2 linked regions of the Macaca mulatta genome follow. The protein of the gene in region 2 purifies or fractionates together with the protein of the main gene of each other region. This does not show direct contact. Links are inferred from orthologs where the notes say so. Each region holds a gene or a part of one and is shown on either strand. Other genes may lie near its edges. The genes, in order: NRBP2 and TSC22D4.

What was found.
Region 1: the proteins of TSC22D4 (region 2) and NRBP2 purify together in Homo sapiens (affinity purification with mass spectrometry; 3 studies listed by BioGRID and IntAct, counting the BioPlex papers as one, with this or other methods). This does not show direct contact. The link is inferred for Macaca mulatta from reciprocal best matches to the Homo sapiens genes TSC22D4 and NRBP2.

Annotation. Positions count from the first base shown.
Region 1 is NC_133413.1:154,208,184-154,218,355, forward strand, and holds the start of NRBP2 (nuclear receptor-binding protein 2), read right to left. Parts: upstream 5,721-10,172; 5' UTR 5,467-5,720; coding exon 5,344-5,466; intron 4,858-5,343; coding exon 4,735-4,857; intron 4,659-4,734; coding exon 4,557-4,658; intron 4,454-4,556; coding exon 4,364-4,453; intron 4,182-4,363; coding exon 4,141-4,181; intron 4,041-4,140; coding exon 3,946-4,040; intron 3,829-3,945; coding exon 3,652-3,828; intron 3,572-3,651; coding exon 3,516-3,571; intron 3,409-3,515; coding exon 3,313-3,408; intron 2,284-3,312; coding exon 2,151-2,283; intron 2,051-2,150; coding exon 1,948-2,050; intron 1,855-1,947; coding exon 1,804-1,854; intron 1,730-1,803; coding exon 1,594-1,729; intron 750-1,593; coding exon 536-749; intron 444-535; coding exon 286-443; coding exon of another isoform or gene 230-285; 3' UTR 1-229. UniProt on the Homo sapiens protein: May regulate apoptosis of neural progenitor cells during their differentiation.
Region 2 is NC_133408.1:47,675,177-47,685,181, reverse strand, and holds the start of TSC22D4 (TSC22 domain family protein 4), read left to right. Parts: upstream 1-4,945; 5' UTR 4,946-5,366; intron 5,367-5,801; exon of another isoform or gene 5,802-5,904; 5' UTR 5,905-6,070; coding exon 6,071-6,832; intron 6,833-9,723; coding exon 9,724-9,890; intron 9,891-10,005.

The sequences.
Region 1 (10,172 bases), on a different chromosome or scaffold from region 2:
CTGAACCTAAGGACCTGGGAGGCCTAACGGCTCCCCCACACCCACCCCCCACCCCCGCGGCGCCCGAGGCAGGGTCTGCCCCACTCTCAGGAGGCGGGGGTTTCTTCACTACCAGGGCCTTTGTGCTCCCAGGCACACGGAGGAGAGCAGCCCCACGGTGCTGGGGTCTCCCCCACATGGCCTGCCTGGGCAGCACCCCGGCATGGTCCCCAGGGGCTGGGGTACTGGGTCAGGCCTGGGCCCCACGGTACTTCAGGAAGGTGCTCTCCAGGAAGGCGGCCAGCTTCATCCGGTCGTCCTGCGGAAGGAGGAAGGCATGGGGGACGGAGGGGCACAGCCTGCCCCGCTTGCCCCCTCCGCCAGGCCACGCTGCAACGCCCAGCGCACCTCATGGAGGAAGCCGTAGTGCACAAGCTCCGAGGCGAGGTCCTGAGGGCTGTCCGCTGCGGCAACGGTGTAAGGCGAGGCATGAGGCCGCTGCGCCACCCGCTGCCCGGGGTCACCGCCCACCGCCCAGGTCCCTTGCCCAGCCTACTTGGGAGCAGGTCGTAGGTCAGCTGCCGGTGCAGCCGGTCCTCCAGCACCAGAAGCAAAGTGAGCTGGGGAGGCGGCGGGGCGTGGTCGGCTGGAGGTTTGGGGGTCTGCCACGCTCCCGCCTTCCCCACAGCAGCGCTGCCCTCCCAGGCCCCGCTCACATGCCAGCGCGCCTTGTCCTCGCTTCTCTCCAGGTTGCACTGCATCTGGATGACCTGCAGCGGCGGAAGGCTGAGACTCACAGACCCAGCAGCGAGACCACATGCCGCGGCCCCAGAGGGGCCAGGAAGGGACAGCAGAGATTGGAAAGGGGGGAATCTCTAAGAGGAGCCCATCTCACTGCTAGTGGCCTAGTGAGCTAAGGAAAGCTTCGAGAAGAGTCGACATTAGGTGCTGGGTACTGAAGGCTGAATAGGAGCTTTCACTGCTGAGAGAACAACTTAAACAAAGAGGGATCTTGAGCACGGGGAAAGGGAGGTTGAGTGGGATGCGACTGCACCGAAGTGCAGGGTGCCTGCAGGACCAGGCCTCCCAGCGCCTGGGCATCAGCTGAGGACTCCCATGATCTCTGCGGGCAGCCAGGAGCAGGCAGTTTGCCTGTTAGGACATAAATTCTGGCTGCACTGCACCAAGAGAGGCCACTGGCCAGGAGGCAGCGCTGCAGGAAAAGTCTGGGGAGACACCAGGACATAGATATCCGGGAATCAGCACGAGGTGGGGGATGGGAGGGTGGGGGATGGGAGGGTGGGGGGTGGGGGGAAGAGTACTGGCGGGGTGGAAGAGCCTGGGCGAGTTCTGGAGGAAGGATGCTTGGAGTAGGTTCAGGGCAGGCAGCAGGATGCAGGGGAGGATCTGAGGGGACAGGGAGCCTCCCGGAAAAGGAGAGTGTCCAGCCTGTCCTACAACCCCCATAATCCCCACAAGGGGGTCAGCCTGGATCTGGTCTCTGGCAGCCAGGAGGAGAGCTGGGCTGTGGGGAGCAGGCCCTGGGAGAAGGAATCTCTTATCAGGCTGCTGGAAGGTCTGAGGGATGGCACTGAGCAGCAAGAGGGGACTCACCTTCCTAGTCTCAGAGTCAAAGGGCTCTGGCGTCGGGGTCTTGGCCTTTTGGACCTCCTCCAGGGGTGGGGCTAGCACCCGGGGCAGCCCCAGGGGCCGAGTGGCTGCAAAGTTCATCAGTGGGTAGATCCCATTCCTGGAGACACACCGGGGTGGCTGGGGGCTCAGGCCTGACAGCTGCCTGGCCCCCAACCTTACATCAGTTCTTACCTGACATCCTCCAGGAATTTGTCCAGCTCCATGAAGGAGACTTCCGAGTACCTGGCATGGGGGTGGGAGGCACATGAGGGGCTGGTCAGGGGCGTAGGGAGGGGAGGCACGGGGAGGGGAGGTTTCTGGGTGCTGACTGCTCACCGCCACTGCAGCGGGGGCCTGCGGGGCCGGGGAAGCTCCGCCAAGACTGCGTGCAGGTCCACCGCCTTGGTCTTCTCCTCCACTACGTTCTCAGGCATGAGGTCTGCAGCCACAGGAGCATCAAGGCCGTGGGTCCTGCAGGGCCCCTTCCACATCCCAGCCGCAGCCTCCCCGGTCACCCCCTGGGCTGGCCTGCTGCTCACACTGGTGCTGGATAAAGCAGTGGGCTGCTAGGAGCTTCAGCGAGTGCACCTCGAAGAGCACGCGGTGGAAGAGGAGGCTGTGGGCAGAGGGCCGGCGGGCAGGGTCCCGGGCCAGGCAGCAAAGGATGAACTCCTGGGGCATGGGGAGGAGAGGCTGGTGGTGTGCAGAGCTCTCTGCTCTGGCCCCACAGTTCGAGGAGAGGTGGTCCCTGAGTTCTCCTCGTCCCTCCTCCTCAGGGACATACAGGACATGCAGGGATGCCCGTAGGGAGGAGTCCTGGCAGCAGCCAGGCCAGGACCTGGCCCTCTGGGCTTGAGGACAGCTGGGTTCTGGGATTGGAGCACCATGCTCTGCTTCCCTCAACCTCCCAAAAATCATGGGGAGTAGGAGCCATGATCTTTAAGTCACACCTGCAAGCTGTGGTCCTTTTTTTTTTTTTTTTTTTTGAGACGGAATCTCACTCTGTCGCCCAGGCTGGAGTGCAGTGGCACGATCTCGGCTCACTGCAAGCTCTGCCTCTAGCTACCCATGGTCATTTGATCGGCTCAGCTCAGGCCCAGCACTGGAGATGACCTTGCTGGTTCCCCACTCTATCCACATCCGTGCCCAGCCCGGCTCCACCTCCCTACCAGCCCCATCCAGGCACCCCCATCTCCTGAGGCCATGGAGTTAAGTCTGGATTCCGAGCAGAGGGGGCTATGGATGCAGCTTCCATCCCATACCTCTTTTTGCCTGCTTGGCACCCACCATGTCCCCCCACAAGCTGGAGCCTCATCACCTCCTAGAAGCTTAAAGTCAAGGACTTGGAGTGAAGCAGACCCAGGTGCAGATGTTGGCTCCACCACTTACTCTAAAGCCTCAGGCAAAGGACTCATCTCCTCTGAGCCTCAGTTTCTTTATCTATAAAACGGGCATGGTGATAGCAGCCACAGAGGGAGGGTCTCTCTTGCCTTCTTGTCCTTAGAATGTGCTGACCCATTAGGGCCTTCAGGCCTGGAACCAGTATGTGCTCCCACTGAGGTCCTCTTTGCGGGGGTGCAGCCAGCTGATATACCTCTCAGCTACATAAACTGTGATGCTCTCCCAGGCCTGCCTGGAGCACCTTGCTGGCCTAGCTGAGCACAGTGAGCCAGCTGGGGAGGGGCAGGGCAAGCTGCTTACCCGCATGTTGGGGTCACTCAGTGAGTGCCTGGCACGAGCAATGGCCTCCTCTGTGACCCGGGTGTCCCCGTTGGCCTGGATCTCCAGCACAGCCATCTGGGGCACAGAGCCAGGTCAGGCATGGGGAAGGGACCACACAGGTGAGCCAGGCAGGGCACAGCTAGGAGGAGGGCAGAGCACAAGGTGGAGGGCGGGGGCAGTACCTCCAGCGCACACATCCCAAAGGAGAAGATGTCCACAGCGGTCCCATCGGCCACCTCTGAACAGGAGAGAACACAGGACGGGTAGGAGAGAAGCACACAGGGCAGGCACGGGGCGCCAAGACCCAGCGCCACTCACCGCCGTACTCTGGGGGGAAGAAGTGCAGGTTCCGAAGTTCCTCTCGCTCAGCGCGGATGGGGCTTCGGAGATCATGCGGCAGCGCTGTGGAGGGCGCAAAGGCTGAGCGGGCGGGACCTCTCCAGGACCCCATCCCCCAGAGTCCGCACTTACCATTGGAGAAGATTCGGTGCCACACTGCCAAGGGGCGGGAGAAAGAGCGGAGTTAGCTGCTGGAGCATCAGAACTCCTCTGCCCTTGGCTGCAGGCACCTTCCCCTGCCCCGTCCCCCGCCCAGCCCTGTCCCGCCAGCACCAGAGCCGATCTTGATGAGGCCATTGTGCTGAATGAAGATGGTGTCGCTGGTCAGGTTCCCGTGAATGATCGGGGGGCTGCAGGCGTGCAGGAAGCTGCAGACGTTGGGGAGGGGAGAGTAGGAGGAGCCGGTCAGGAGGCTCTGAGGAGGCGGGGGCTCAGCAGCGCAGCGCCCGGGCCAGCCCAGGCCCTCACCTGAGCGCGGACAGGATCTGCGTGCACCAGCGCTTCCAGGCCTGGCGGCGGACGCACGACTCCGTCGGGTGGGCGCAGGAGAGGCGGCTGGGCCTGCGGAGCCCGCCCCGCATCCTCGCCCAGTCCCTGTCCGAGGCCACTGGGCACCCCCTCACCATCCCAGTCCCCGAGGCTGCCCCAACCCCGTCCTGTCCCCGTGGCTGCCCCAGCCCGCTCCCCATACCCGGGCGTTCATGGCCTTGTGGTTCTTCTTGGTTTTTTTGAGGAATTGCTTGAGGCTGCCTGATGACACGTACTCTGTGATGAAGATGACCTGCAGGGTGCGAGCTCAGGATTTCCACCAGCTGCGCGTTCGTCCCCATGCCCACCCCACCTGGCTGTGGCCTCTGCCTGCCCGGGGCCTCGCCCATAATCACCCTCGCGCAGGCCTCGGAGGTATCCAGCCAATACTTGTGCAACTTCACGATGTTGGGGTGGTCCACCAGCACCAGCTGCTCAAACACAGTCTGGATCTTCTCCTGGGGAGGGAGGGTGGTCTCTAGGTGGTCAGCAGGTGGTCACCCAGGCAGGATGAGGAGGGGGCAGTGGCCTCACCTCGTGCGCCGCGAAGGCCTTTCTGTCTCTGAAGTGGAGCTCGTTCCACACCACCTCTACCCCCTCCTCCGTGTCCATGGCTAGGAAGGTGCTTTGAAGCCCTGGCATGTTCCCCTGGTTTACCTGGGGAGTGAATAAGGGGTTATGTGTGCCCTGGTGTGTGTCAGGTTGCGGGTGAGGATTTGGTCCCTGTCTATACCTTTCCAGTGGGCCCAAGCGTGGACTGTAGGACCTGAGCCACTCTGCGGGAAGGTGGGGGCTTGGAGGGTAGCTGCCCCTAGGAGCCAAGGGCTCCTATCCAAGGGCTGGGCTAAGGGGATTTGGAGCAGGTTTCAAGGGGTCGAGGGGGATCCCCAGGAACCTAGCGGCTGAGTCCAGAGGCATGGGGAGGTGGTCCTAGGAGGAGACTGGCCCTCAGGGAATCCCAGGACGGGCGCCAGGCCAAAGGGGTCCAGGGGTGGCTGATTCGCTGGCCGCGAGGGACCGTGGAGAGGTTTCCAGGCGCCGCGCGCCGCGCTCTCCCAGCGCCCCCACGCCCCGCGCAGCCTCCAGGCCCCTCCGGCTCTGGGAGGGCGGTGTCACCCCAGTGCCCGCGACCCCCGCGCCCACCTCCTCCCGCCGCTTTTGCCAGCGACCACACGGGCTCTCCTCCAGGATGTCGCTCTCGTCCTCGCTCTCGTCCTCCCGCTCCCGCTCCCGGGCCAGCCTCGGCGCCGGTTCAGGGGCCGCCATGGTTCGGCCGGCCCAGGCCACCGCCCTCCGCGCGATCCACCGCCGGAGCAGCCTCTCCCGGCCCGCCCTGGCCCCGCGCCCAGCAGCCCAGCCTAGATCCGCCGCCGCCGCCGCCGCCGCAAGCCCCAGCCCCGGCTCTGGGAATTGGGAGGGGCGGGCGCGCGGCGGGCAGATGGGGGCCGGAGGCGGAGCCGGCGCGCCGCTCCCGAGCCGCGTGTGCCAGCCCGAGCCAGAGCACCGCTTCCCAGCCAGCTGCCGAACCCCGGCCGCGCCCAGGCCCCGCCCCTTCGGAGGCCCCGCCCCGCGAAGCCCCGCCCCAGGCCCTGTCCCCTCCTCGTCCCCCAAGCCTCCTCCGCGAAGCCCCGCCCCACCTCCGCGAAGCCCCGCCCCGTTTTGGTCCCCGCCCCCGCCCATTCCCAAGGTCCTTCGCGAGGCCCCGCCCCAGGCCCCGCCTCGCCTCCTCGAAGTCCCGCCCCGCGCAGGGGAACCGCCCCCAAATCCCCGCCCCCGTGGAGGCCCCGCCCCGCGGCCACCCGGAGCCTGGAGCAGCCCACTTCTCTCGCGGTTGCTCTCCTAGGATCTGGGGGAAGACCCGGGGCATCTGGGGTCCCCCAAGCCCACGACACCCTCCAGCTGCAGGAGTCCCCGCGGGCTCGAAAGCGGGGCCCCGCTCTCCCGGCCACGCACTCATTCCCCGGCCGACCCCCTTGGGACAGGTGGGTGGGACACCGAGGGCGGGGGGAAAGGCCCACCAGCAGGCTGACCCAGGCTGACTTTCATTGGGGGCCACAAATCTCTCCGTGGCCCGCCCGCCGGTGCCTCCTCCCGCCCACAAACCCATCTTCTCACCTTCCAGGATGGCGATTTTCTCTTTTCTCCTCAAACGCGCCCCTCCTTTCCGCGGTTGGCTCGGGACAGTGGAACCATGATGGGGGAGCCCACCTGGCTCACAAGGCCGCTCCCTCCGGAGGCCGCTCTGAGCACACCCTCCAGCCACGCTGACCACCGGGGCTGTCCCCGATTCTCACCTAAAACCCCCTTCAGCCCGCAGCTGCCACAGCCTTCCCGTGGCCTTCTCCCTCTCTCAGGGCGGGTCCTCATCCTTTACCTTCTCTCTCTGGAGCCCAAATTGGAACTCCGCTCCTCCCTTCCGCGCGCCTCCGTGTGCTGTCCCTTTGGGACGCCTCTTTCTTTCTTTGGCAGATTTGCATCTGGCCCTGCTGCGTCCCCTGTGGTCGCTCTTTCCTGACCAGCCTTGGTCACCAGGTCCCCTGAGTGTGGCTTCCACCAAGGCCAGATGATCCTGCTGAGGCCTTCTGCAGTAAAGGTTTGGGGTGTTCAAATTCTCCACCCTGAAACTGGCCCTGACCAGCTCCTGAGAGACACCCTCTAAGCCTTTGGAATGTTCCGCCTGATTTGAATGTCTGTGTTTACCTAGGCCACACCATAGTCTATGCTAAGCTTGTCCAATCCGCAGCCCAGAGGGTGCATTCGGCCCAACACAATTTTTTTTTTTTTTTTTTTTGAGACGGAGTCTTGCTCTGTCGCCCAGGCTGGGGTGCAGTGGCCGGATCTCAGCTCACTGCAAGCTCCACCTCCCGGGTTTACGCCATTCTCCTGCCTCAGCCTCCTGAGTAGCTGGGACTACAGGCGCCCGCCACCTCGCCCGGCTAGTTTTTTGTATATTTTTAGTAGAGATGGGGTTTCACCGTGTTAGCCAGGATGGTCTCGATCTCCTGACCTCGTGATCCACCCGTCTCGGCCTCCCAAAGTGCTGGGATTACAGGCTTGAGCCACCGCGCCCGGCCCCAACACAAATTTGTAAACTTTCTTGTTGAGATTTTTTTTTAAAGCTCATCAGCTGTTGTTAGTGTTAAGTGTATTTTATTTAAGTGTGTTGCCCAGGACAATTCTTCCAATGTGTGCCAGGAAGGTCCAAAGATTGGACACCCCTAGTCTGTGCTAACAACGTGGTCTACGGGGGGACTTTGGGCCATGTGGCATCAGCCTGACCTCTGCAGGGGCTGGAGGCCAAAGTCTGCGACTTGGGAGGTCAGCCATACCTGTGTGACCAACCCAATAAAAACCCTGGACACCGCGGTACAGAGGGCTTCCCTGGCTGGTGGCATGCTGTGCTCATCCGTGCTGGGAGATTGAGCACTGTCCGCATGCCTGCAGTGGGTGCGGACACCTGCAGACCTGTGCTGGTCTCTCTTGGGTTCTGTTCCGTGAGTCCTTGCCACTGCTGATTTTAACGCATCCATTGCTGTAATAAATGGTACCCTTTCTGAGTTCTGTGAGTCCTTACAGTGAACCATTGAACCTGAGGGTGGTTTTGGGGAGCCCCCAGTGGTCCCTTCTCACTTGGCACGAGGGCCTAAACAGGAAGGCCCAGTAATTGGTCCCATTACCCTACCTCATGTCCCCTGCCCTCTTCAGCCGAGCCCACCACAAGTACATGGCCCTGTGCCGTTGGACATGACAGGCACTTCCCCTCAGGGTCTCTGCCCTGGTTATACCTTTGCCCGGAATGCCCTTCCCAAACATCCTCTGAGGTCACTTCCTGAGAGGCCTGCCCTGGCCACGAATCCTGACATCACAGTCCCCATCCCCTTTCCCCTGCTTGACTTGACTTTTCCTGGGGCATTCACCCCACCTGACTTGCATCTGGGTTTTTCTCATCTCTCTTCTTCACTGTCTGTGTCCCTGTTGCTATTCGAGCTCCCACAGGGCAGGAGTGTCTTCTCTTTGTCCCTGCTCTTTCTCTGGTGTGAGGACAGTACCTGGCACGCAGCAGGCCCTCAGCAAACACTTGTTGAATGGATCTCTGGGTGGGCAGGGGTGCGTTTTGGGGGGTGTGGTCCAGAGAAGCCCCTGAAGAGGTAAGGCTTGAGCAGAAGAATCTCAATGAATTTCCTCCCCTTTCTCCACCCCCATAACCAGACACACATGTTCTGTGGTAGGTCATATAGAATCCCCCAAAAGTCTACATCCTGATCCCCAGTACCTAGGAGCACAGCCTTATTTGAAAAAAAAAAAATGGCTCACGCCTATAATCCCAGCACTTTGGGAGACCGAGGCGGGCGGATCACGAGGTCAGGAGATCGAGACCATCCTGGCTAACATGGTGAAACCCCGTCTCTACTAAAAATACAAAAAATTAGCTGGGCATGGTGGTGGGCGCCTGTAGTCCCAGCTACTGGGAGGCTGAGGCAGGAGAATGGCATGAACCTGGGAGGCGGAGCTTGCAGTGAGCCGAGATCGCGCCACTGCACTCCAGCCTGGGAGACAAAGTGAGACTCCTTCTCAAAAAAAAAAAAAAAAAAAAAAAAAAAAGAATAAAAAAGATTTTTGCAAATGTAAATAAGTTTAGGATCTTGAGATGTTGGAGTGGGCCCTAAATGTCCTTATCAGAGAAAGAAGGATACTTGGGGTGCAGAGAAATAAGGTAGACCGTCAAGTGAACATGGAGGCCACTATTGGAGGGATGTGCCCACAGGCCAAGGCGTGCCTGGGACTGCCAGGGCCATGAGTGGTGAGGAGAGAGACCTGGGATGGATTCTCCCACCCCAGCCCCAGAAGCAATCAGCCTTGCTGATACCTCAATTTTGCACTTCCAGCCTCCAGCACAGTGAGCGAATCTGTTTGTGCTGTTTTAAGCCACTCCTGCATCTCTGGTGCTGCTCTGGCAGCCCGAGGGGAATAGCACATGCACCGGGCACAACCCGCATGGTAAGAAAAGTGACGTGACAACCGCTACGTGTTCGCGTGCAGGGATGCTTCCCAGCACTTATTCCGACTCCACAGAGTGGGTCGGACTGCTGCCCGCCCACGCACAGAGGCAGTGGCTGCTGCAGCATGCCCTCCCTGGCCTCAATCTGGCTATGCCCCAGGGTGGGTGCCCACCCTCCCTTCTGCTCTGCCTATGAGCTTCTCCACCCCTTGATCCTGCCAGGCCATTTGGATTTATCGGAAGTTCTCTAGGGCTGCTCTTGGCCACTGAGCCATTCACCCGCCCTCTTAGCCTAATCTGTGAATTGGCTTCTTAAAATTTATTTTTTTAGAGATGGATTCTCACTCTGTTACCCTGGAGTGCAGTGGTGCAATCACAGCTCACTGCAGCCTCAAATTCCTGGGCTCAAGGGATCCTCCCACCTCAGCCTCCTGAATAACTGGGACTATAGGCACATGCCACAGAGCCCAGCTATTTTTTTTTTAACTTTTTATAGAGCCAGTCTTGCTATATTGCCCAGGCTCGTCTTGAACTTCTGGGCTCCAGGGATCCTCCTGCCTCAGCCTCCTGAGCAGCTGGGAGTGCAGGTGTGAGCCGCTGCGCCTGGCCCCTGTGCAATGCCTTGTGGTGCCAACTGCAGGTTCGCTGCTCACTGCCTCCTCCACTTCCGCCTTGCACATCTACTGGGGCTCCATGTCTGTCGCCTTAGAGTCTTCCTAAGCGTCTCCCTCCTGTGAGGCATGCAGGTGAGCTGTTCTCAGAATTCCTGCAGATTTCTTTCCCATCGGCAGGTGGACGATCCCTTGGCTTGCGGGGCTCAGGACTGCTGTCCTGGATGCCAGGAATCCTAGGGTGGGAGAAAGCCAGGGGGTCCCAACTCTGGGGGGTCAGAGGAGCACCAGAGGAGCCCTCCCACTGTCTGTCCTGGTCACCCTGCCTCCTGGTCTCCCACATCATGTGCAGTCCCATGCCA
Region 2 (10,005 bases):
CCCCCCCATGCCGGGCTCCGCCCGGAGCAGGAGGGAGGAGGAGAGACAGAGACAGACCGGGGGGAGCGAAGCTGGGCCCTGCCGCAGAGACAGCCCCGCCTCCGGGTCCGCCCCCAGACCCGCCCCCGGCCCCAAACCCACCCTTCCACACCCTCCAAGGACGGAACGGGAGCGGCCGTGCGGCGCGGGGCCGCGAGGCTGGGGCGCGGGGCGCGGGAGCCGCGGAGCCTGCGGGGACAGATTCGGAGGAAGGTCGTGGGGCGCTGGGGGCCCGGCGCCAGCCCGTCGCGGTCTTGGGGTGTCTACTCCTCGCCGCCCCTCGCCCCCTGCCCAGCCGGGCGGTGCTGGGTTCGGTCTCCCGGGCCCCGGCGGAGCGGCGTGCAGCGGCGCCCCCCAGCGGCAGCCTGGGGCCCGCGCCCCCGCCCCCGCCCCCGCCCCGTGCACCCCGTGCACCCCGTGCGCCCGGCGCGCCCCGGGTCCGCACCCAGCATCGGGCCGGGGCCGAGGCTGCGGCTGCGGGGCCCGGGGTGCAGTGAGGCGCCGAGGCCGCCAGGGGGTGCCGCTTTCCGGGCCGAGGGGCTCCGAGGGAACTGGACGGGAGGCGGCTCAGCCCAGCAGGGGGCGTGCTCAGGCGGCCGCGCCCCCTTTCCCCGCCGCCCCCCCTTTCCCCGCCACCCCCAGGTGCCAGGAGAGCACCCGAGTTGGCTCGCGGGGGAATCGGCCGCCTCCCCCTGCAGCCTCCCGGGGGTGCTCGGATCTCCTTCCATCGTCTGGGCTCAAAGCCGTCCGCCCCCGTGGTCCGAGCCCTCCTCTCATGACCTTTGACTCCCCCAGCGCCGCTCGCAACGACCAGGGTCGACCTCTGAGTGTGGCCACCACCCTGGCACTGTCAGGGGGCCGCTGCGGGACGTGACCTCGACCTCCCCGCCCATCGCTTTTCTCATCATCTCCCCTAGAAACAACTTTCTCTGAAATTCCTTGGGCGCACAGCTCTGTAGCGGGGGTAAATCAGCTCGAGAAGACCTCAGTTGTACCTTCCACGGGCTGGAAAATGGGCATGGCAAAGATAGGCATGGCCTAATCCCTGGCCTGCGAATGCTACTTCCCATGGCAGCGTCTTTGCAGACTTGCTGTGTGGCTTTAGGCAGATCGTGCAACCTCTCTGAGAGATGCTTTAGTCCAGGGATGTACACTCTTTTGACTTCTCTGGACCACATTGGAAGAATAATTTGTCTTGGGCCACACATAAAATACTCTTAACACTGGCTGGGCGCGGTGGCTCACGCCTGTAATCCCAGCACTTTGTGAGGCCGAGGCTGGTGGATCACCTGACATCAGAAGTTTGAGACCAGCCTGGCCAACGTGGCAAAACCCTGTGTCTACTAAAAATAGAAAACATAAGCTTGGCATGGTGGCGTGCGCCTGTAATCCTAGCTACTCGGGAGGCCAAGGCAGGAGAATCGCTTGACCTGGGAGGTGAAGGTTGCAGCGAGCTGAGATCAGACCACTGCACTCCAGTCTAGGGGACAGAGTGAGACTCTTGCCTCAGAAAAAAACAAAAAAACAAAAAACCCAAACTCCTAATGTTTTAAGAAAGTTTACAAATTTGTCCTGGGCCACAAGCTGCCGGTGCAGTTGGACAAGCTGGCTTTAGTCCATTCTTTGTTGGCAGAGGAGGGGTAGTAAAATAATACCAAAGTGCCTTGTAAATTGTAAAGGGTCCTACATATTAAAGGCTATTAAGAATGCTCCCAGGGGAGGGAGATACTAAAACACTTAAAACCCATTTCACATTTATACCTTTAGTATGATTAGTTTATACGTATAGGTCGGGAGCGGTGGCTCACGACTGTAATGCCAGCACTTCGGGAGGCTGAGGCGTGCAGATCACTTGAGGTCAGGAGTTCGAGACCAGCCTGGCCAACATGATGAGACCCCCCCATCTCTACTAAAAATACAAAAATTAGCTGGGCGTGGTGGCGGGTGCCTACAATCTTAGCTACTCGGGAGGCTGAGGCAGGAGGATTGCAACCTGGGAGGCGGAGGTTGCAGTGAGATGAGATCATGGCACTGCACTCCAGCTTGGGTGACAGAGCGAGACTTCATCTCAAATTAAATTAAATTAAATTAAGACATAAAAATTTGTATGTATTCACTCAACAAACATTTCTGCAGAGGTCAGCAATGTGCCAGGGCCTCTAGACTCAGATACCAGTGCCTGAGGCAGAGAAAGGGATTGCCCAAAGATAATTTTTTTTTTTTTTTTTTTTGAGACGGAGTCTCGCTCTGTCGCCCAGGATGGAGTGCAGTGGCTGGATCTCAGCTCACTGCAAGCTCCGCCTCCCGGGTTCACGCCATTCTCCTGCCTCAGCCTCCCGAGTAGCTGGGACTGCAGGCGCCCGCCACCTCGCCCGGCTAGTTTTTTGTATTTTTTTAGTAGAGACGGGGTTTCACCGTGTTAGCCAGGATGGTCTTGATCTCCTGACCTCGTGATCCGCCCGTCTCGGCCTCCCAAAGTGCTGGGATTACAGGCTTGAGCCACCAGGCCGGCCCCAAAGATAATTTTTGGATAGTTTGTAGCAAGTCAGCAAGAAGGAAGGAGGGCCTGGGGACGGAGGGACCAAGGCCATGTTCTGAGTGTTGCTAGAGGAGAAGAGGTTCTGTGAGGGACAGAGGGATGCAGTCTGGAGGGGTAGGGAGCAGGTGGGAGGCTGCTTCCCAGACATCACTACTTGGGAGGCTCACAGACCTGGGCTATGGCAGTCATTGTTACTATGGCTTAAGGGAGAGAAACAGGAGTGTGGATGTTTCTAACAAAGAGATAAAGAACAAATACATAACGAGGGTAGGTATTCCATTGTTTTATTTTTACCTAACCCTAAAGAGGGGTTAGAAATTTCCCTGAGGCCAGGCACCATGGCTCACGCCTGTAATGTCAGTTTTTTGGAAGGCCCAGGTGGGAGTATCATTTGAGGCCAGCCTGGGCAACATAGTAAGACCCTGTCTCTATGAAAACTAAAAAATTAGCCAGGTGTGGTGGAGTACACCTGTGGTCCCAGCTACTAGGGAGGCAGAAGCAGGAGGATCACTTGAGGCCAGGAGTTCAAGACGACCCTGGGCAACATTGCAAGACCCCCATCTCTACCAAAAAAAATTTTTTTTTAAAGAAATTTAGCCAGGCGTAGTAGTGTGTGTCTGTAGTCCCAGCTACTTGGTAGGCTGAGGCGGGAGGACCAACTGAAGCCAGGAGTTTGAGACCATACTGGGCAACATGGTGAGAGCTCCCATCTCTACAAAAATTTAAAAATTAGCTGGGTGTGGTGGCGTGCATCTAAAGTCCTAGCTACTTGGGAGGCTGAGGCAGGAGCATGGCTTGAGCCTAGGAGTTCCAGGCTGTGGTGAGCTATGATCACACCACTGCACTCCATCCTGGGCAATAGAAGAGAGAGAGCGAGAGAGAGAGAGCACCTGTCTCTAAAAAAAATGTGGGGGAGTGGTTGGGGCAAAGGGAAATAGTATAACATCCAGGATTTGGTTTCAAATAGTCCAGCAAAATACAGCTGGCTCCCACATGTCATTTCATTGAATGTCATTTCATTATAACGTTGATGATTTTTTAAAAATTAATTTTGGGTTGGGACCACCATCCGTGTGGAGTTTGCATGGTCTCCCCATGTCTGCATGGCACGTTTGAAAATTTTCATAATAATCCACTTTTTTTTTTTTTTTTTTTTTTTTTGGTGAGACATGGTCTCATTCTGTTGCCCAGGCTGGAGTGCAGTGGCACAATGTAGGCTCACTGCATCCTCAACCTCCTGGGCTCAAGAGATTCTCCTGCCTCACAGCCTCCTGAGTAGCTGGGACTACAGGTCTACATCACCACACTCAGCTTTTTTTTTTTTTTTTTTTTAAGACGGTCTCGCTCTAATCGCCAGGCTGGAGTGCAGTGGCACGATCTCTACTCACCGCAACCTCCGCCTCCCGGGTTCAAGTGATTCTCCTGCCCCCTGAGTAGCTGGGACTACAGGCGCATGCCACCACACCTGGCTAATTTTTATATTTTTAGTAGAGATGGGGTTTCACCATGTTGGCCAGGATGGTCTCAATCTCTTGACCTCGTGATCCGCCCGCCTCGGCCTCCCAAAGTGCTATTTTTTAATTTTTTGTAGAGATGGGGATCTCGCTATATTGCCCAGGCTGGTCACAAACTCCTGGGCTCAAGGGATCCTCCCACCTCAGCCTTTGAGTAGCTGGAATTATAGGTGCACATCACCATGCCCAGCCAATTTTTTTTGTTTGTTTTGTAGAGACGAGGTCTTGCTATTATATTGTCCAAACTGGTCTCAAGCAATCCTCCTTCCTTGACCTCCCAAAGTGTGGGGATTACAGGCATGAGCCACCACCGGGGTCCGGCAATAATCCACTTTTAAAAATAAGGAATGGGGGGAATAATAGTACCTTCCTCATGCAGTTGCTGTGAAAACCAAAGGAGAATGACAGCCACAGCCGCCCCGCAGCAGGGACTGGGCACTTCTGGGTGGGCATCCAGCACACCTCCCGGCCTGTGCCTTCCGTTTCTTCTGTGTGTCTCTAGGCCAATGGCAGCAACTGACTACAAGTAAGGGAATCCCTCGCCTCCCTGCAAGCTCCTCCCCTTTCTCCCCGAGCCCCGCCCTCTGCAGCCCCTGCCTGCAAGAGTGGGGCTGGGCCCGGCAGGTGTGGGGTTAAGAGAGTCTGTTTGGGGCCCCCAGGAGCAGCAGCCTAAGCAGTGGCTGCAGCAACTGCAACAGCAGCGGCTGTGGCAGGCCTGGCCCCGGGCCAGCTGGCGGGAAGCCCCAGGAGGGAGGGAGGGAGGAGGAAGGGGAGGAGGAGGGGAAGGAGGAGGAGGAGGAGGAGGAGAGGAGCAGTCAGCAGGCCCGAGGAGGCAGGACTTCCTGGTGTGGGGGTTGTCAACAGCTCAGAAGGAGAAAGACGGAGAGGCAGAGACCCAGGGGAGCGGAGGAGCGGAGACACGGACCCAGCGGGGCCACGCGGGAGGAGACTCGAGACACCCACTCGCTGGCTGCCACCGGGAGCAGCGGGGGGCTCGGCCGCCCTCTCCCACATCAGTCTCCAGACCCCTGGGGCTTCAGCGGCCGCTCCTGGGCTCCTCGGAGGAGCCGCGGGTTCCTTCTTTTCCGGAGAGCAAACTTTCCTCGGAGATGCCTCCCAGGATGAGCTGAGGCCCCCGGAGAGGACGGGGCAACCTCTGATCGCCGCCTGCGTGCCCCGCCACTCCCCCTGGCCAGAAGGCCCCAGGGAACGCACAGCCCGACCTCTTAGGCGCCGGGACCCTCAGGCTCAGATCAGTGGCTGAGGCCCCAGAGGTAGGATTCGGGGCTGGGTGGGGCGCTGGGGGTAGCCGGGCAGGGCCTGCCCCAGGGATGTGGGAGCTGGGGTGGGCTCGAGGCCCAGGAGAGGTCTCTCTGAGTGGCCGGGCCAGGCTGGGGAGCTGCTTCACCCCGGTTCTCCCAGGCCCTGGAGTCCAAGCTCTTGGGACAATACCCGCCCCCTGAGTCAGAATCTCAGATGAGAAATGCACAACTCTGGAACTCATCTGCCTCTTCCTACTCTGAGCGCCTTTTTGGATCTGGTCCCCTCTGCCCTGGTCTCTGTCATCTCTTGCCTGTCTCCGGGTCTCTGACGGTTTCCCCTTCCCCCACTCTGCTCCCCGGAGAGGAAGCCCCGGAGGTGGCCTGCCCACTGGTTTCACACACACACACAGACACACACACACACTCTCTCTCTCCCTCTTTTTCCAGTTTGCAAACTCAGCTCTGGAGTTCAGCAGCAACAGCAGCAGGAAAAACCTGCCCGTGCTCCCCCCTCCCGCCACCTCCCCTCTCCTCTTCTCCCCTCACCCAGCAGGCACCCCGGGTTCCCACCAGGCCCTCCTGCCATGTCGGACCCAGACGTCCCCAGGGGCCCGGATGCCCCCACCATGTGGCCCCCTTGTTCCAGGGGTGCCTGAGCCCCTTCAAGGAGTCCCAACCCACCCCCAACCTTGGCCCAGCCCTGAGCCCCAGGGACCATGAGCGGGGGCAAGAAGAAGAGTAGTTTCCAAATCACCAGCGTCACCACAGACTATGAGGGCCCGGGGAGCCCAGGGACTTCAGATCCGCCTACTCCACAGCCCCCCACCGGGCCCCTGCCCCGCCTGCCCAGTGGGGAGCCCAGCCCTGATCCGGGGGGCAAGGGCACCCCCCGGAATGGCTCCCCACCACCTGGGGCCCCCTCCTCCCGTTTCCGGGTGGTGAAGCTGCCCCACGGCCTGGGAGAGCCATATCGCCGTGGTCGCTGGACGTGTGTGGATGTTTATGAGCGAGACCTGGAGCCCCACAGCTTCGGCCGACTCCTGGAGGGAATTCGAGGGGCCTCAGGGGGCGCCGGGGGCAGATCTTTGGATTCCAGGTTGGAGCTGGCCAGCCTCGGCCTGGGCACCCCCACCCCACAGTCAGGCCTGTCTCAGGGCCCCACCTCCTGGCTCCGTCCACCCCCCACCTCTCCCGGACCTCAGGCCCGCTCCTTCACTGGGGGACTGGGCCAGCTGGTGGTGCCCGGCAAAGCCAAGGCAGAGACACCCCCACTGTCGGCCTCCCCACCCCAGCAGCGCCCCCCAGAGCCTGGGACCGGTGAGAGTGCGGGCACATCCCGGGCTGCCACGCCCCTGCCCTCTCTGAGGGTGGACGCGGAGGCTGGGGGCTCAGGGACCAGGACCCCTCCACTGTCCCGGAGGAAAGCTGTAGACATGCGGCTGCGGATGGAGTTGGGTGCTCCAGAGGAGATGGGGCAGGTAAGACCTGGGTTCTAGGGCTCGCCCATCAGCCCTGGCCTAACCTCTATCTTGGGACTCCCTCCTCCCACCCCTTCTCCTCCCCTTCCTTCTCCCCCTCCTCCTTCCCGTCCCTTCCCCTCCCCTCCCCCTCCCCCTCCTCCTCCATTACTTGTCTATCAGATCAGACAGCCCTCTTCTCTGTGCCTGCCAGGTCACTCTGAAGCCCCTTCCTCCTCCTTCATTTTCTGTCTCAGCCTCCTTCCTGTTTTTCTGCACCCTCTCTCTTTCTCCCTGGCCTCTGATTCTCTGTCTTGGTCTTCATGTAGCCTATAGCATATGTGGCCCCCTCACCAGGCCTTCTTCTGTCTTGGTCTCAGCCCCTCTGCCTCTAGGTGATGAGGGTGGAGGCCTCAGCTGGGTAGCTGGGTCCCTGGGGGAGGAGCTGCCAGGATTTGGGGAGGAAAGGTAAAAGGTAGGCTTTGCGCGCTGCTAGTCTCTGCACTGCAGCCCCATCCTGAATGTAGGGGTCTTTCTTTTCCCCCAGCCACCCATCTCAGTCCTACCTCCAGCTTTGCTGTAGGCCAAGTGTCACTGAGAAATTGGGTGGGGGGAACACCTCTCAGGGATGGGGAGGGGGCTTGCTGGTTGATCCTTTTCACCCCCCAGTTGTCTGTCTCAACTCCCTCCATCTGAGCCTCTCTGTGATTGATAACTCCAGGGTGACCACCATGGAGTGGGGGAGAAAAGCCCCAGAAGGAGTTCAGTCCCATACTCTTTCTCCTTCCTGTCTCCAAAAGAGGAACAAGTCCGGGCTGGGGGGGCAGCATGCCTGGGTCCCCGTGGTGGGGGTGAGCAGCCAGAGACAAAAGGGTGGGATACTTCTGTCCTGCGGGGAGAATATAACACCTCGGAGGGCTGGGGAAAGGCAGGGGGTGTGAGGATGCGAACTCTTTCCCCTTCCTGGCCTTGGGCACAAACCACAGTATAAAAATAACCTGGGACTGGATGTCTGGGTCCTGTCAGGACCGGTCAGGACTGGCTCCCCCCAACCCCCTCCTGGCCTCAAGCTCACGTCTCTCGTGACGCCCCTTCCTACCACTCCCCACCCCCTCCCCGCCCAACTCTTCTTGAACTCCTGCATTCAGCACCCACCCCAGGGGAGAAGATGCTGTTTCTCTTCCTGTCCTGTCCCCAGACTCTTCCAAAGCAAACCCCCTTGGCCTCCAGCTTCCCTGCTCTCTGTCCTTAAGCCTGGCCTGAGCTTCTCTTGGGGCCACAGACCCTGCCTGTCTCTCTCCAGTGCCCCCTGCTCCCCAGCTTTCCCCCACCTCCTGACGGTCTGCTGTTTGCACGTAACTGTTTTGCTATTTCCCTGCCCAAAAGTCTGTCTCCCTTCCACATCCCCTCATGCCTCTTCTCCCTCTTAACAGAAGGGAGTGGTGGAGAATGGCCAGGGGACACCACCTGGGCCCCCTTCCTCTGCTCTGTCCCTCTAACCACCCTGGACTCTCTGTTCTTGGCTTTTCTGAGAAGCTGGGGCCTCCCGGGGCCTCACAGAGGCGTCTTGTCATGTTCCTGTCGCCCCCGCCCTTTTTGCTGCCGCCCCCAGCGCCTGTTGGGCTATGCAGGTCCACGCCCAGGCTCCGCCTCCCCCCAGCTCCACAACCAGCCCCCGCCAACCCCAGGGCTGAGCGCAGGAGCAGAATTCCACCTGAGTCCGAGAAGTTTGAGAGGGGAGGCGAGAGTGAGGGGTGGGTGAGGGGATGGAGGAGCAGTTTCTGAGGATCCATTCATTCTACAAATAGCTACTGAGCAAACTGACCTTCTAGCCGGGGAGAGACACAATAAATACTTTAATTTCAGATAATGTTAGGTGCTATAAAAAAAATGAAACAGTTCAGTGGACCAGTGAATGATGGGGAAATACCTCTCTAAGAGGTGACATTGGAGTCATTTTAAGAAGGCAGCCTGGGTGCAGTGGCTCACACCTATAATCCCAGCACTTTGGGAGGCTGAGGTGGGAGGATCACTTGAGGTCAGGAGTTCAAGACCAGCCTGGCCAACATGGTGAAACCCTGTTGTCTCTACTGAAAATAGAAAAATTTGCCAGGTGTGATGGCGGGCGCCAGTAGTCCTGGCTACTCAGGAGACCGAGGCAGGAGAATCACTGTAACCCGGAAGGCAGAGGTTGCAGTGAGCCAAGATCACATCACTGCACTCCAGCATGGGTGACAGAGCGAGACTCCAGCAAAGGCACAGGCTGGGAGCGGTGGCTTATTCTCCCAGCACTTTGGGAGGCTGAGGCAGGAGGATCACTTGAGCCCAGGAGTTTGAGACCAGCAGGGACAACATACTGAGACCCTGTGTTAACAAAAAATAAAAAATTAGCCAGTTACGGTGGTGCGCGCCGTAACTGTCCAGCTACTCGGGTGGCTGAGGCTGGAGGATCACTTAAGCCTGGGAATTCGAGGCTGCAGTGAGCCATGATTGTGCTACTGCACTCCACCCTAGCTGACAGAGTGACTGTCTCAAAAAAATAAAATAAAATATAAAAGAAGGCAGACACTCTGAGTAGCCTCTGTTTAGGGTCCCGGCCCAGGGGGAGCAGGGACTTTGGAGTCTATTCTCGGTTCTTCCATCAGTCCCCCGCTCCTCCCACTTGGGAGACCCTCTGTAATGTCCCATACACCACTCCTCCCATTCCTCAGGTTTACCCATTTCTTGCTTCTAGTACCTGCCTAATGCCTTCTCCAGAGCTGGAGAAGGGAAGGGCTGCGGGGACAGGACTCCCGGGTCCTCCAAAGGGAGTAGAGAGGTGGAGAGGGAGGAAGGCTAATAGGCAAGTTATAAGGCGGCTAATTCCTTTCTCTTCTCTTTTCACGTGATGGTTCCTACCTCTCCGCCTCCAGGTGCCCCCACTCGACTCTCGCCCCAGCTCCCCGGCCCTCTACTTCGCCCACGATGCCAGCCTGGTTCACAAATCTCCAGACCCCTTCGGAGCAGTAGCAGCTCAGAAATTCAGCCTGGCCCACTCCATGTTGGCCATCAGTGGTCACCTAGACAGCGATGATGATAGGTAGGTGGGCTTCGTGGGGTGGTGGGGCGTGGGGTTCAGGTTCCCTGCCCAGCACCTGGGATGGCTGTGAGAAACTGCCCGGTAGGCATCCTTCCCTCAGGTTGAACTTGGAGAG